Danio rerio: one gene and its partners. The protein of the gene in region 1 purifies or fractionates together with the protein of each later gene. This does not show direct contact. Links are inferred from orthologs where the notes say so. Each region holds a gene or a part of one and is shown in the gene's direction. Other genes may lie near its edges. The genes, in order: dnajb1b, pycr3 and bag5.

Region 1 (4,243 bases):
CACTCACGCACAAATTGCATGGAAACGCATCAGGTTTTTACAGTGTAGTACTCACTACTCCTGAGTATTTTTCTAAGGTCTACTTTTTACTCATAGTTTGAGTAATATTTACAACAGATACATTTACTCTACTTGCACTACATTTTTGGCCAAGTAATGGTACTTTTACCTGGGTTAGATTTTTTCAGTATTTTTTCCACCACTGCTTATTAGTACATTTACATTTATGAATCAAAATTTTGTTAACAACATAAGCAAATGATTAAAATAAAACCAATTTTCCTCTTGACTAGGGTAGACAGTAAAGCCCAAAAGTACATTTTCCCACAACAATAAGAGAGGTTTAGAAAACTAAAATTTGTTATTGTGTGTATATATATATATATATATATATATATATATATATATATATATATATATATATATATATATATATATATATATAACAAGTACTCAGCATTAATATTTTTATCCTTTACTCAGTGAATATAAGCAATAATAATAATAATAATATTTGGTGCATATAAACAAAACAGATTTATGAAACGGATATATTTATTTAAAAATTATTTTATCCACCAAACATATTTAGAAATTAAAAAACAATACTATTAAATTCAAGCAAAATATTACAAAAACAAAAAAAAACTACAACCTACAAAATTTCAACCAAATTTTTATTTATTTTTTTTGCTTCTCTTCTCATTAAAATTTGTATTTAATATTTTTCTATAACATGTTAATATGGGTGAACTAGTTTTTGGTCCGTTACCGAAAGTTATTTTGTTAGATTGGTCCAGATTTGACTTCAGTACTGACTAAACTAATGTATATGCACAAATATAATATTGTAAACGTATTAAAATATTAAAAAACATGAATTTAAAAATGAATTTAAAAGATAAGATTTGTTAAGGGGTGTACTAATGTATGCTGAGCACTGTTTGTACACACACACACACACACACGCACACACGCGCGCACACACACACACACACACACACACACACACACACACACACACACACACAATCCATTCAATATAATAATAATAAAATATACTTCCTAATAATTTCCACTTAACATTTAATGAAACATAAGATTTTTTAAAAGGTAGATGATTTAATATTATAAAGATATAATTATAACAATAATAGTACAGTTAAAACATGAGAATCATCATTGGTCTAAAATAGCATCTTCCCTGGACAGAGTTTGTAGGTCACTCGGTCAGGAATGTAAGGGGATTATGCAAATATAAATGACGACATACGAAATCCAGCCGAGAAGCGCCCGTTATGGCGTCACACAGGCCTGTTTATGTTTGAGTACATCATAGTTTGATAGAGAAACGCAGCTGTAGTTTCTTCTGGTTTCGGTTTTGCCCGTTTGCTGCAGCAGCTGTGCGGGTGGAGCAGATCTGCCACGTGGTCCAGGTCCAGGGGTGTGGAAACAACCAGAGACTTTGAGAATTTTCTAGAACTTTCTTTACGGTTTTAAATAGGGGGAACCACAGAGCGGCAGGAGCATAAAAGACCGCAAGGGGACGAGACGACACCTCTGCAAAGATTAGTTTCAGGTTGGTTTGAAAACAAACAGGCTAGCAACACTAGTCTGAACCGCAGTTTTTCTTTCGGAGAATATACATTTAAGAAACACGGAAGCCTAATGGTGAAGATGGGGAAAGATTATTACAGCGTTTTGGGGATTCAGAAAGGCGCTTCTGACGATGAAATTAAAAAAGCGTATCGCAAACAAGCGCTGAAATACCATCCGGACAAAAACAAGTCAGCCGGAGCCGAGGAAAAGTTCAAGGAGATCGCGGAAGCATACGACGTGCTGAGTGACCCGAAAAAGAAAGACATCTACGACAGATTTGGCGAAGAAGGTGAGTAAAAATATGCAAACATTTGTAACTGTGGCTCTGTTCCACGACGCAAATATGAATAAGAAGAGTTTTAAGAGGGATTATGAGCCTTTACTAATAAGATATGTTGTTTAAAGTACAAACTATTGTGTTCGTGTTTGTTTTCTTCTAGTCACGTTTGAGACAAGAGAGATAGATTAGATTACTGACTGGCTGAATCAGTTTAATCTATGATGTTACGTGGTCCTGGGCTGCTTTCGACGCACTCTACACTACTCAAACGTTTGAATTAGAGATAAGTCAATCTGCTGAATCTGTGATAGTGAAGTTTTATTTTGTAAAAATAAGTAAACGAGATCCGATCAGCAATGCTGCATTCTGATTGGCTGCTTGTGCGGGACATTCTAGAGCGTCGAGCGCTTGCTGGAAGATTCTGATAGTCACGTGGTGCGAAGAGGCAGAGCGTTTGAGTTCCGTCAATAGTTCTGTACCTGTTCAGCTTTAAACAATCTTAAATGGGTTTGCACATTCCAGAACATTTTAAAACGACTAGCACTTAAATATAAATATTTACTAATAGAAAATCTATCAAAAGGAACCTTTAGATATTTTTGGAGATACAAGTTAAGATGAATACAAACCTCCAGTCCTTTTACCAGTATGTGTAGTTGAGTAATCAAAATGATCAGTGGTTCTATGCTAAATAATCAACATTTATATGAACTATTAAATTAATCTTGAAATTTGAGTGTTGTATTTTTGTTTAAAGATTGCAATTTGATTTATTTGTGTGCCATTTGCAGGACTGAAGGGAGGTGCTCCTGGAGGAGGTGGTGGTGGTGGAAATTACACATACACTTTCCAAGGAGATCCTCATGCGATGTTCTCAGAGTTCTTCGGAGGGCGAAATCCTTTCGAACATATTTTTGGACATAATGGCGGTATGGATGAGAACATGGAAACTGATGACCCGTTTGCTTCTTTTGGTATGGGTGGCATTGGTGGTTTCCCTCGCTCCTTTACCACACATAGTCACGGTGGAAGAATGGAGAGAAAACAAGACCCTGCAGTGATCCACGACCTCCGTGTCAGTCTAGATGAAGTGTTCACTGGCTGCACCAAGAAGATGAAGATCTCACGCAAGCGCCTGAACCCCGATGGACGAACAACACGCTCAGAGGACAAGATTCTGACAGTGGAGGTGAAAAAAGGCTGGAAGGAAGGAACCAAGATAACCTTCCCCAGGGAAGGCGACGAGACGCCGTCAAATATCCCTGCAGATGTGGTGTTTGTGTTGAAGGATAAACCGCATCCGGTGTACAAACGAGATGGATCGGACATCATTTATCCTGCAAAAATTACTCTCAAAGAGGTGAGATGATTTCTATGATATTGAAGAAATATTCAATAGCATGCTAAATAATTTTATAGGCCACTAGATATTTGAAATAACCAACATGTTTTATACCATTTCAAAAAATGTAACTTCTGAAAGCAAACACACCATTAAGGAACATCAAAGATCAATCAGCAAAATCAAAAACACTTGAAACAGACAGGAGAAAATTCTTGCCTGTTTTGACTCTTGTATCTGAACATGGCTTGGTTGCTTGTTCATACTGAAAGTTACACATTTTTGTACAAGAAAACTAAGACGTTCACTTTCCTTGGTTTCCGAAATGCACATTAGCATGTAAATACTAGGGATGCACCGAAAATGGTTTTTGGGCTGATATCGATAGCCAATAAATCTTAGATTTGAAGGCCGATAACTGATGTATTAGCTGATGAATATAAATATTTTAAAATGTTATATTTTTGCACAGTGAACCACTGATTTTATTTAAAAAAAAAACTTCATAAAAGTTTGAACTGATCTAAAAATAGCCTTCTTAAAGCAAAAAAAGTAATAATTTCAAAATTGCAAGGTGATTATATAAACCTATTCACACTTTCACATAAATCATTTCCTTTTTTCCACATAGCAAATTTACATGCAACTTGACTGTTGCATAAAAATAATAGGTTAAATGACAACTAGATTTAATTAACAAACAAGTTAAACATTTTAAATAAAATGAAAACGAAAAAGTACTAAGTACTTAAACCAGCTCAAATGTCAAATGAAAAGTATTACATATTTGTACAATTGTAAGTCATTTAATACTTTTATAACCGCGCTCCACACTTAAAAGCAGGCAGTTCTGTACAAGTACAAAATTAATTGGCTTAAAGATATCAGCCTAATTTTGAAATTGGAATGATAACGATAACATTATTAATAGCATTTTTCAGCAGATAACGATATGGCTGCAGATACATCGTCTAGGCATGGGCTGATATAAGATTCTGACGGTATGATACCTTGGATCAAAA
Region 2 (4,306 bases), on another chromosome or scaffold:
CGCAGCTCTGCACAGTTTAGTTCCAACCCTAATCAAACACACCTGATCAAACTAATCGAGTCCTTCAGGCTTGTTTGAAACCTACAGGTAAGTGTGTTGGAGCAGGATTGGAACTAAACTGTGCAGGGCATCGGCCCTCCAGGAATTGAGTTTGACACTGCTGCTGCGTTTGGTGCTTCTTTGCATTTCTTATGTTGGTTTACTTCTTATCTCTCCTGTCGTCAACATTATATCAGTCTCCTATATTGGTCTATAAGTCATTTACTGCTATGGTTTCTCGCGGTGTTCGTCAGGGTTCTGTCCTACTCTTTTTGCGCTATAGGGGAATTGATTAACTAAATTGGCCGTTGTGTATGAGTGTGTGTGTGAATGAGTGTCTATGGGTGTTTTCCAGTACTGGGTTGCAGCTGGAAGGGCATCCGCTGTGTGCTGGAATAGTTGGCGGTTCATTCCACTGTGGTGACCCCTGATAAATAAAGGACTAAGCTGAATTAGAATGAATGAATGAATGTAGCTTTTATGAAGCCAGAAAGTGATGTTCATTTATTTCTTCACTGCCTTTATGTTTCTCTTTTATTTTTAACATTATAAAAATGCTAATTTACCAAGGAAAGATGTTATTTTATGCATATTTTAACATTTATATATATATATTCATATTTAATAGGCAAGTGTCATATACATAAATGTAAATTAAAAGAACACATTTTTTTACAGTATTTAAAATTTAATGCATTGAATAGTCCATGCTTGTAAATCTATTAAATTAAATTAATTAATTAAATTAAATAATTAAATTAAATCCCCCCCCCCCCCCCCCCGAATTTTCTGAATTTTAATTGTTTGATTCTGTCTCTCACAGTGGAAATGCACCTCTGCTGAAAATGTAGACCTCTCTATGATTTCTTTGTAGATGTTTAAAAAATCACAGCATGATCAAATACTTATTGACCTCACTGTATATCATTAAACTAAAGGGTAAACAAACAAGAAACGTAAACAAGAAATCACTAAAATGTTAACATAAATAAATAAATGTATACATTAAAATGCAAACACTGGGCAGTGAAGCTCTGGACTGGAGAATACAGATCAGAGCTTGACACAGAAAATGACTACTGACTAACAAGTTTATACTGAAGCTGGAGTCATTTATTGTAATTTATTACATCTAAAATCTCCAGTGAGTAATTATGCAGCCTACTTTATTTTAATACTTTAATAATATATCATATACCAAAATTACATGCAACATATGCATTTAATATAATAGTAAATATAGTTTACTCCTTACCTCGTCTAATTCTTCTTTCCATGGATCAGGAATTACAGCAACACTGATCTGCTGGATATATTGTTGACGTTGTGTGTTGTATCTTGCTCCAGTCCAGCAGATGTCAGCAGTGTACATGCTATAGTTTCGAGTCTGTACTGTAAGTCCTGAAGAAAATGCCATCCATGTGAGAAGAGTTTACAAATTAAACAGGGATCAAGTTAACAATTTAGCTGCTGCTGCTGCGTCTTTATCAAACTTACCATGAGTCTGTCAGGTGCTTCAGACAAGACCAGCGATTCACCCGTGAGTAGGTTTTGTTGACCATATACTATATTAACCTGCTGATTAAATGTTGTTTAGTGAACAGATGTCAGCAGCAGCATCTCCAGTATTATGATTGTGAAATAAAATGTCTGTTGTGAATTCAGGATGTGTTTCAGATTAAGATCGGATTCATCGGAGCGGGAAACATGGCGTTTGGCGTCGCGCAGGGAATCATCGCCTCAGGTCAACAAATACCTGACAGTACCTTAAATAACTGCATTATATCAACAGTTCTGTTTATAAAGTGTCTAGTATCATGTCAAGTACATTCAGTAGGAAAAAAATATAACAGTAGTTTAATTTATAACAAACCTACGTGCTTTTGAACCTTATATATATATATATATATATATATATATATATATATATATATATATATATATATATATTTTTTTTTTTTTTTTTTTTCCATATTTTAATCGTATAATATGTTGTATTAGGCCTGTTGTTTTGTTCATTTCTGCACTGACAGCTCGAAAGAAAGATTTACATTGATCTGAGTTCATCTGCTATGTCTCTCTATAATTTAAGCCTATAATGCAGAATTCTAGCCAACGTTTCTTTTATAGATTGATTAATTCAATAGATCGATTTTTACAAAACCTGACAATTGAAATGAGGCTTTGTATATATGAGAAAGTCTGACCTCTGCTTTATATTCGGTGACGATGTCTGTGAGTTGTTAAAATTAAAGGGCACATTTTTGCTTATAAAATATTCTATACACAACTGGTCAAAAGTTTGGGGTCAGTATGATTGTTAAATATGTTAAACTAAGCTTCTTCTGCTCACCAAGGCTGCAATTATTTCATCATAAATACAAATTGTGAAATGTTGCATAAAATAACTGTTCAAAAGTACTTTATCATTTAATTTATTCATTTATTCCAGTGATTTTAAAGATGAAATTTCAGCTTCATTACTCCAGTCACATGATCCTTCAGAAATCACTAATATTAATTATTATTATATTTATTAATGGTAATAGTAATAAAAGCAATAATGTCTGGGGTAATCATTTTATTTGAAATTACATACAATAACAAAGCAGTTATTTAAATTTTTGATAAATATTTAACAATTTAACATTTTTTACATTTAATAAATGTAGCCTTGATGAACTGAATAAGTTTTCTTAAAAACATAAAAAAAATTACTGTAAATATATATACAGTGGAAGTCAGAGTTATTAGCCCCCCTTTGTTGTTTTTTTCTTTTTAAAATATGTCCTAAATTATGTTTAACAGAGCAAGGAAATGTTGATAGTATGTCTGATAATATTTTTTCCTCTGAACAAAGTCTTATTTGTTTTATTTTGACTAGAATTAAAGCAGTTCTTAATTTTTTATGAACCATTTTAAGGTCAAATTTATTAGTTCCTTAAGCTAATTATTTTTCAAACTGTCTCCAGAACAAACCATCGTTATACAATAACTTGCCTAATTACCCTAACCTGCCTGGTTAACCTAATTAACCTAGTTAAGACTGCTTCCATCTTTTACTTTCACACAAGTACTTAGTCATTTTAGCGCACGCCTCAGATACTGTTGGCTGGTTCCTGTTGGTTGTGTGTCTTTTTTTACTGACGCCATTATAACGACACAGATCACTGCCTATTCACGAGAAAAAAGTGATTGACAGGTGTAATTATGTGTGTAACTTGCCTTTATTCATTTACTGTATGATTTGTTTATGGGTAAAACAAAGACCATGCAGGTCAGGTAGTTTAAACGGTAGGCTACAAATAATTAATTGGTCATTAATTAATTAATTATTCATAATCGAAAATCTAATCGAATCGTGACTTTAGAATCGAAAATGTAATCGAATCGAGGATTTGGAGGATCGTGACACCCTTACGTGTGATTTGTGTGGTTTTATTGACATTTTATTGCTTTTATTTTTTATGTTATAGGGAAGGTTCCACCAAGTAATATAATTATTAGTGCTCCATCCATGAACAACCTTCCTCGCTTTAAGGTAAGACCTTATGAACATTTAAATTACGCTTTTCCAAAAAAAAAATGTAAAGAAATATTTTGATATAATAAAATGTTCTACGGTTTCCCCCACAAGTCCAAAGACATGCAGTACAGGTGAATTGACCGTAGTGTATGAATGAGTGTGTTTCCCAGTGATGGGTTGCGGCTGGAAGGGCATTCCCTGCATAAACATATGCTGGATAAGTTGGTGGTTCATTCCGCTGTGGCGACCCATGATTAATAAAGGGACTAAGCCGAAAATGAATAAATACAATTTTTTAAAAATAGCTATATATATATATATATATATATATACACACACACACACACACACACACACACACACACACACACACACGGTTAAAATCTGAGGTTTACAGACATTCTAAAAAAGCAATATAAGCATTTTAAAAAATGTCTGATGGTAAATCATACTAAACGTTTACTATTTTAGCTTCAGGATTACCTAAATTATTTGCTAAATGCCAGAATAATTAGAGAATTCTTTTTTTGAGAATTTTGTATTAATTTCTAGACAGTCAAAAGTTTTCACACATTTCCTTGGTATTTTTTAGCTTTGCTATTAAATTGTAAAACTTTGGTCAAATGTTTTGGGTCTCCTTCCACAAGCTTCTCACAATAGTTGGCAAGAATTTTGGCCCATTCCTCCTGACAGAATTGCTGTGACTGAGTCAGATTTGTAGGCTGTCTTGCTCGCACAAGC
Region 3 (4,199 bases), on another chromosome or scaffold:
ATAATTCATTATTTTACATTGATTGGCATGATTTTGTAGGGGACTGATTGAATCATGCATAAAACAATTTACAAGCATAGATAAACAGGGCAACGACAAAACTGCTGAGATAAACAGTGTTTTATGTTTGTTTGTTTTTTATTTTTATTTTTTTGTTTTTTTTTTGGAGCATTCAGTACAGAAATCGAATAATCAAATGTAAATTAACACGTCTTCTTTATATAAAAAAACAAGTACAATTAATATTTGTTTAAGATTTAAAAGTTATAATTTCTTGTGCCTGAATGTATTAAACTCTTTGAAATCACATGCAAATGATATTTTTTTTTATTTAATTTTGGTTCTGCATCTGCAGCTACTCCACAAATCACATGTACTCTGAACTCCTGTGCTGTTCAACATTGCAGATGTGACTACTGCAGATGGGCACATGGCAATATTAATGCTGATAAGATATATTGTACAGCCTATAATGAAGAATATTATTGCTTAGCTTGCTTTAAACACTTGAAAACGTGCACGTATTTTTGGTTGGTTCGTTTGAAAAGATTTTAGCTTTTTTTTGCTAGTTTATATATATATATATATATATATATATATATATATATATATATATATGTGTGTGTGTGTGTGTGTGTGATAAGCATAGGGTTGTTCAAATAGTAAACTCATTTAATGTATCATCCTTTTAATTTAGGCCTACTTATTTTTTTTTTAAGGTGTAACAAAATTGTTAGATTTAAATCTGATGTTAAAAAGGCATTGTATATTGTGTTTTCCAATCCTCAGAAGGTAACACTTTCCTCTGCTTCGGGAAAATCCGTACTCCTGTTTTTTTAATGTAAAGTCACTTTCTGAAGATACATGACAAGTTACGTAAATATGTATTTTAAAACAACACAAGTATCACTGTGATTTATCTGAAATAAAACACACTATAATTTGTGCAGTGTAGTATGGTTTATTTTTTTCGACAAGGCAACTGTTTGAAAGAAACAAGCGCGTGCTAAAAACAGGAACAATACAATAGACACGGGTGTCCATGCAAATAATTACAACATTTTATAAACTCTGTGATGAAATAAACACCGGGCTTACGAAAATACATCAAAACAACCATGAACTGCGAAGCGAATTTTTGACGTCATGATTTGTGTACATGGAATCAGCCGTAAAGTTGCGCATGCGCTGTGAATGGGGGAACAGGGGAACTGAATTCTCCGGAACACCGGCGTAACAACGCAACTGCACAGACTGTTACTGAATGAATCTTTTACTGAACTGATTCAAAAGAGTCACTAGACCACTGGCGCTGATCGAGGAAGGGAAGGGAAGGGAAGGGGAGGGGCAGGAATGCGGTCCACGCCGATGTAATGCTTCAACTGATCTGAATGCCTGTTTGCCTTTGCCAGTATCACTGCAACTCTGCGATCCAGAAATTACTGGAGTGTTGTGCCGTGCAAAACATTTTACTCGCGTGGCTGATGGAAAAGGAGCCCCTTAAACATGTGCGCGAACGTTTTCGGCGCGTTGAAGAGGTGAGAAATATGCTGCGCATCCCAGGAGGTGGTGAGATATGCTGGGTATGGCTGGCTGGTGTTCAGAAGCCATAAAAACGTCATTCTGCGATGTTTTCATTCATGTGCATCTATTACTGAACAATCGTTATGGTGAGGCATGGACAGGCTTGTGTTAGATTCTCCCTCTGCTGGATTGATTCTATAGTTCATGTCAAAGATGGAGCCGTACGGTCTTGGGGGACCAAATGTAGTCATTTTGGAATCAGCCGTTGCAAAGCATATTTAGTCATGTTATGTCTTCTGAATCATGTATCTAAGAACTATAAGACAGCTTAATGATTGCATATATGATGATGGTCAGATGTGTGTTCAGCTAACATGTACAGGGCAGCTTTTTTAACTGAGCATGCCAGTAACATCAGCATCATGAGCTGTGTACAGTTCCACAATCCAGGGCAGGTGAAACCAAAAACACAGCACATTGCCATCAGTGTTTCAACAGACACTCAATGTAAATTCAAACACAAAGTATGACAAATGCAGATTTTCTTGAAAACTACTCAAAGATCAGTGATCACTAACAGGTGGTCGAGACCCAGAAGCATCCCATTTGGATCCGTACATGCAGCCTATAGAGGTCTGCGCAGGTCTGTTACTTCAGTCCTGCTCCCCCTGGGCGTTACTTCGCACCCAATCACTCCCACTATTTGTTAGCTCTGTTTACCCCCTATATGCTAAGAAAATCTTTCTCCCGACCGACTGTTCAAACTGATTTAAGACTAGAGATTAGCTAAATGCTCACTCTTTGCTTAAATGTTTGCATTCTGTGCAGTTTCATTTACCACAGTCCTGCTGATAACCGAGCTCTCTGGAATGAATGTTAATAAAATTGCATGTTGCTTGGTAATGCAAGCTTAATGTAAACAAGAAATCAATTCTTTAAAAGGGCTCAAATATTAGGATGTGTTGACATAATTACTAGCTGCATAATTGGTTGCGGCTTTTGAGTCATGACGTAAAACAGAACAAGGTCAATTTAAAGGTGTGATAAGTGATCTGCCTAAATGCTACAGGCTAGCATAATATCTTTAAAACGCAATACCTCCCCTGCCATATAAAGCCACGCCTCCTGAAATCATGAACACGCACACTAAAGATGACAGTAGACAACCAACTAGATCATGTCATTCGCCTGTTATACTTTATAATACTACAATTCTGAATAAAAAACTGTATTAAATCTAACATGTTTTCAGTTGTGTAGCAAGCAAAACTTGTCATAATGTGCAATATTCATGCATGCAAGGTCTCACTCATGCACTTTGCCCTAAAGCCACTACGGTTGTCGTTGGCCAGCGGCGTGCAGGAATTACACTTATTACCAAGACATACTTGTTATTTCAGACCGAATATTCGAAGTAGCATAGTAAACCATATAGAGAGCGCATCGCAGGCTGTCATTGTTAAAAAAAAAAAACCACTGTGAATGTAAAATCAACTTCCTCAGTAAAGCAGGCTAGGCAGAATAGCGCTATTTACTTATATTTTGTTGTTAAACTTAATAAAAATCAACATTATCGATTCTGTAGAATGGTACCTTATAAAACTGAAAATAGCCACATTATTCTTTCGCTGGAAGATTTCAGTGGCTGAACAACACTTTTGTGCATATAACCCAAACATAAAACAACAAAATCTACATAAGTTTTGCATGACTAAAATTGTTTTAAAATATAACATTACCTGTCTAAAAATACTTCAGCCATGGTGTCATCCTTCATCCAGCGTGCTAAAGTAACTCAAATATTGATTCAGGATTTTCAAAAGTTTTGATTTAGCAATTAGCATTTGTTTTTACTGCTCTCTCTCTCTCTCTCTCTCTCTCTCTCTCTCTCTTGTGTGCAGGTAAACGCGGAAAAAAAATGATGGATCTGTGTGAATGGCTTCCCAGATGTACAAATCTACATTTGTTGACAGACAGTTTGGGCTATCAGAATTATGGGAATTGTCTGCCTGACAATTTTTTAATTGGATGAACATTTTTTAGACTTATGCCTTACCCAGTATATAAAAATACATATAAATACATTTATATAATTTACTTTAATCATTACTATTGGAATGTGCAGAGATTTTCAACCAGCACAACAAAAATGTTTCTGAAAACAATCCCCTTTAAACTTTTTATTCCTTTATTATATTTTCTTAAGCATTTTATATGAACATAAAAATTTCAAAATTGTCTTATTTTTTTTAAATTATTTGAACAAATCAAATTAAATCAATTAAAGAGCAAATCAAACAAGGTTTGCTTTATAGATTTCTCGGTAGTGTAACAGTATTAAGACACAAAAATGTAATAATCAAATATAAAATAACTCTTTAAAGTCTTCATTGGGTAAATGATGTTTTACAATTAATCTGTTGTTTTAGTATGCCCAAGTTATTTGTTTCTGAAATGTTTCATCATACCAAAAATTTTCTCAGTTTCTGTTTTAACGCTTAAGTGAGATAAGTGTGGTGCTAATCAACAAGAGAAGGTACAAATAAATGGTCAGTGCAGCATACCAATCCAGCGGTACAAAAGTTTATGGCTGGTAATTACCGCTGATTTCAATTAAAGTGAAAACCATGATATTCAAAAAAATGCATAAAAGGCTTAAAACAAGAAAAAAAATA

The links.
Region 2: the proteins of dnajb1b (region 1) and pycr3 purify together in Homo sapiens (affinity purification with mass spectrometry; 3 studies listed by BioGRID and IntAct, with this or other methods). This does not show direct contact. The link is inferred for Danio rerio from reciprocal best matches to the Homo sapiens genes DNAJB1 and PYCR3.
Region 3: the proteins of dnajb1b (region 1) and bag5 purify together in Homo sapiens (affinity purification with mass spectrometry; 3 studies listed by BioGRID and IntAct, with this or other methods). This does not show direct contact. The link is inferred for Danio rerio from reciprocal best matches to the Homo sapiens genes DNAJB1 and BAG5.

Annotation. Positions count from the first base shown.
Region 1 is NC_133176.1:59,235,451-59,239,693, reverse strand, and holds the start of dnajb1b (dnaJ homolog subfamily B member 1b), read left to right. Parts: upstream 1-1,291; 5' UTR 1,292-1,668; coding exon 1,669-1,888; intron 1,889-2,670; coding exon 2,671-3,239; intron 3,240-4,243. UniProt on the Homo sapiens protein: Interacts with HSP70 and can stimulate its ATPase activity. Stimulates the association between HSC70 and HIP. Negatively regulates heat shock-induced HSF1 transcriptional activity during the attenuation and recovery phase period of the heat shock response.
Region 2 is NC_133195.1:55,818,821-55,823,126, forward strand, and holds the start of pycr3 (pyrroline-5-carboxylate reductase 3), read left to right. Parts: upstream 1-1,484; 5' UTR 1,485-1,537; coding exon 1,538-1,579; intron 1,580-1,704; coding exon 1,705-1,783; intron 1,784-3,515; coding exon 3,516-3,580; intron 3,581-4,306.
Region 3 is NC_133188.1:17,770,586-17,774,784, reverse strand, and holds the start of bag5 (BAG family molecular chaperone regulator 5), read left to right. Parts: upstream 1-1,315; 5' UTR 1,316-1,506; coding exon 1,507-1,538; intron 1,539-4,199. UniProt on the Homo sapiens protein: Co-chaperone for HSP/HSP70 proteins. It functions as a nucleotide-exchange factor promoting the release of ADP from HSP70, thereby activating HSP70-mediated protein refolding.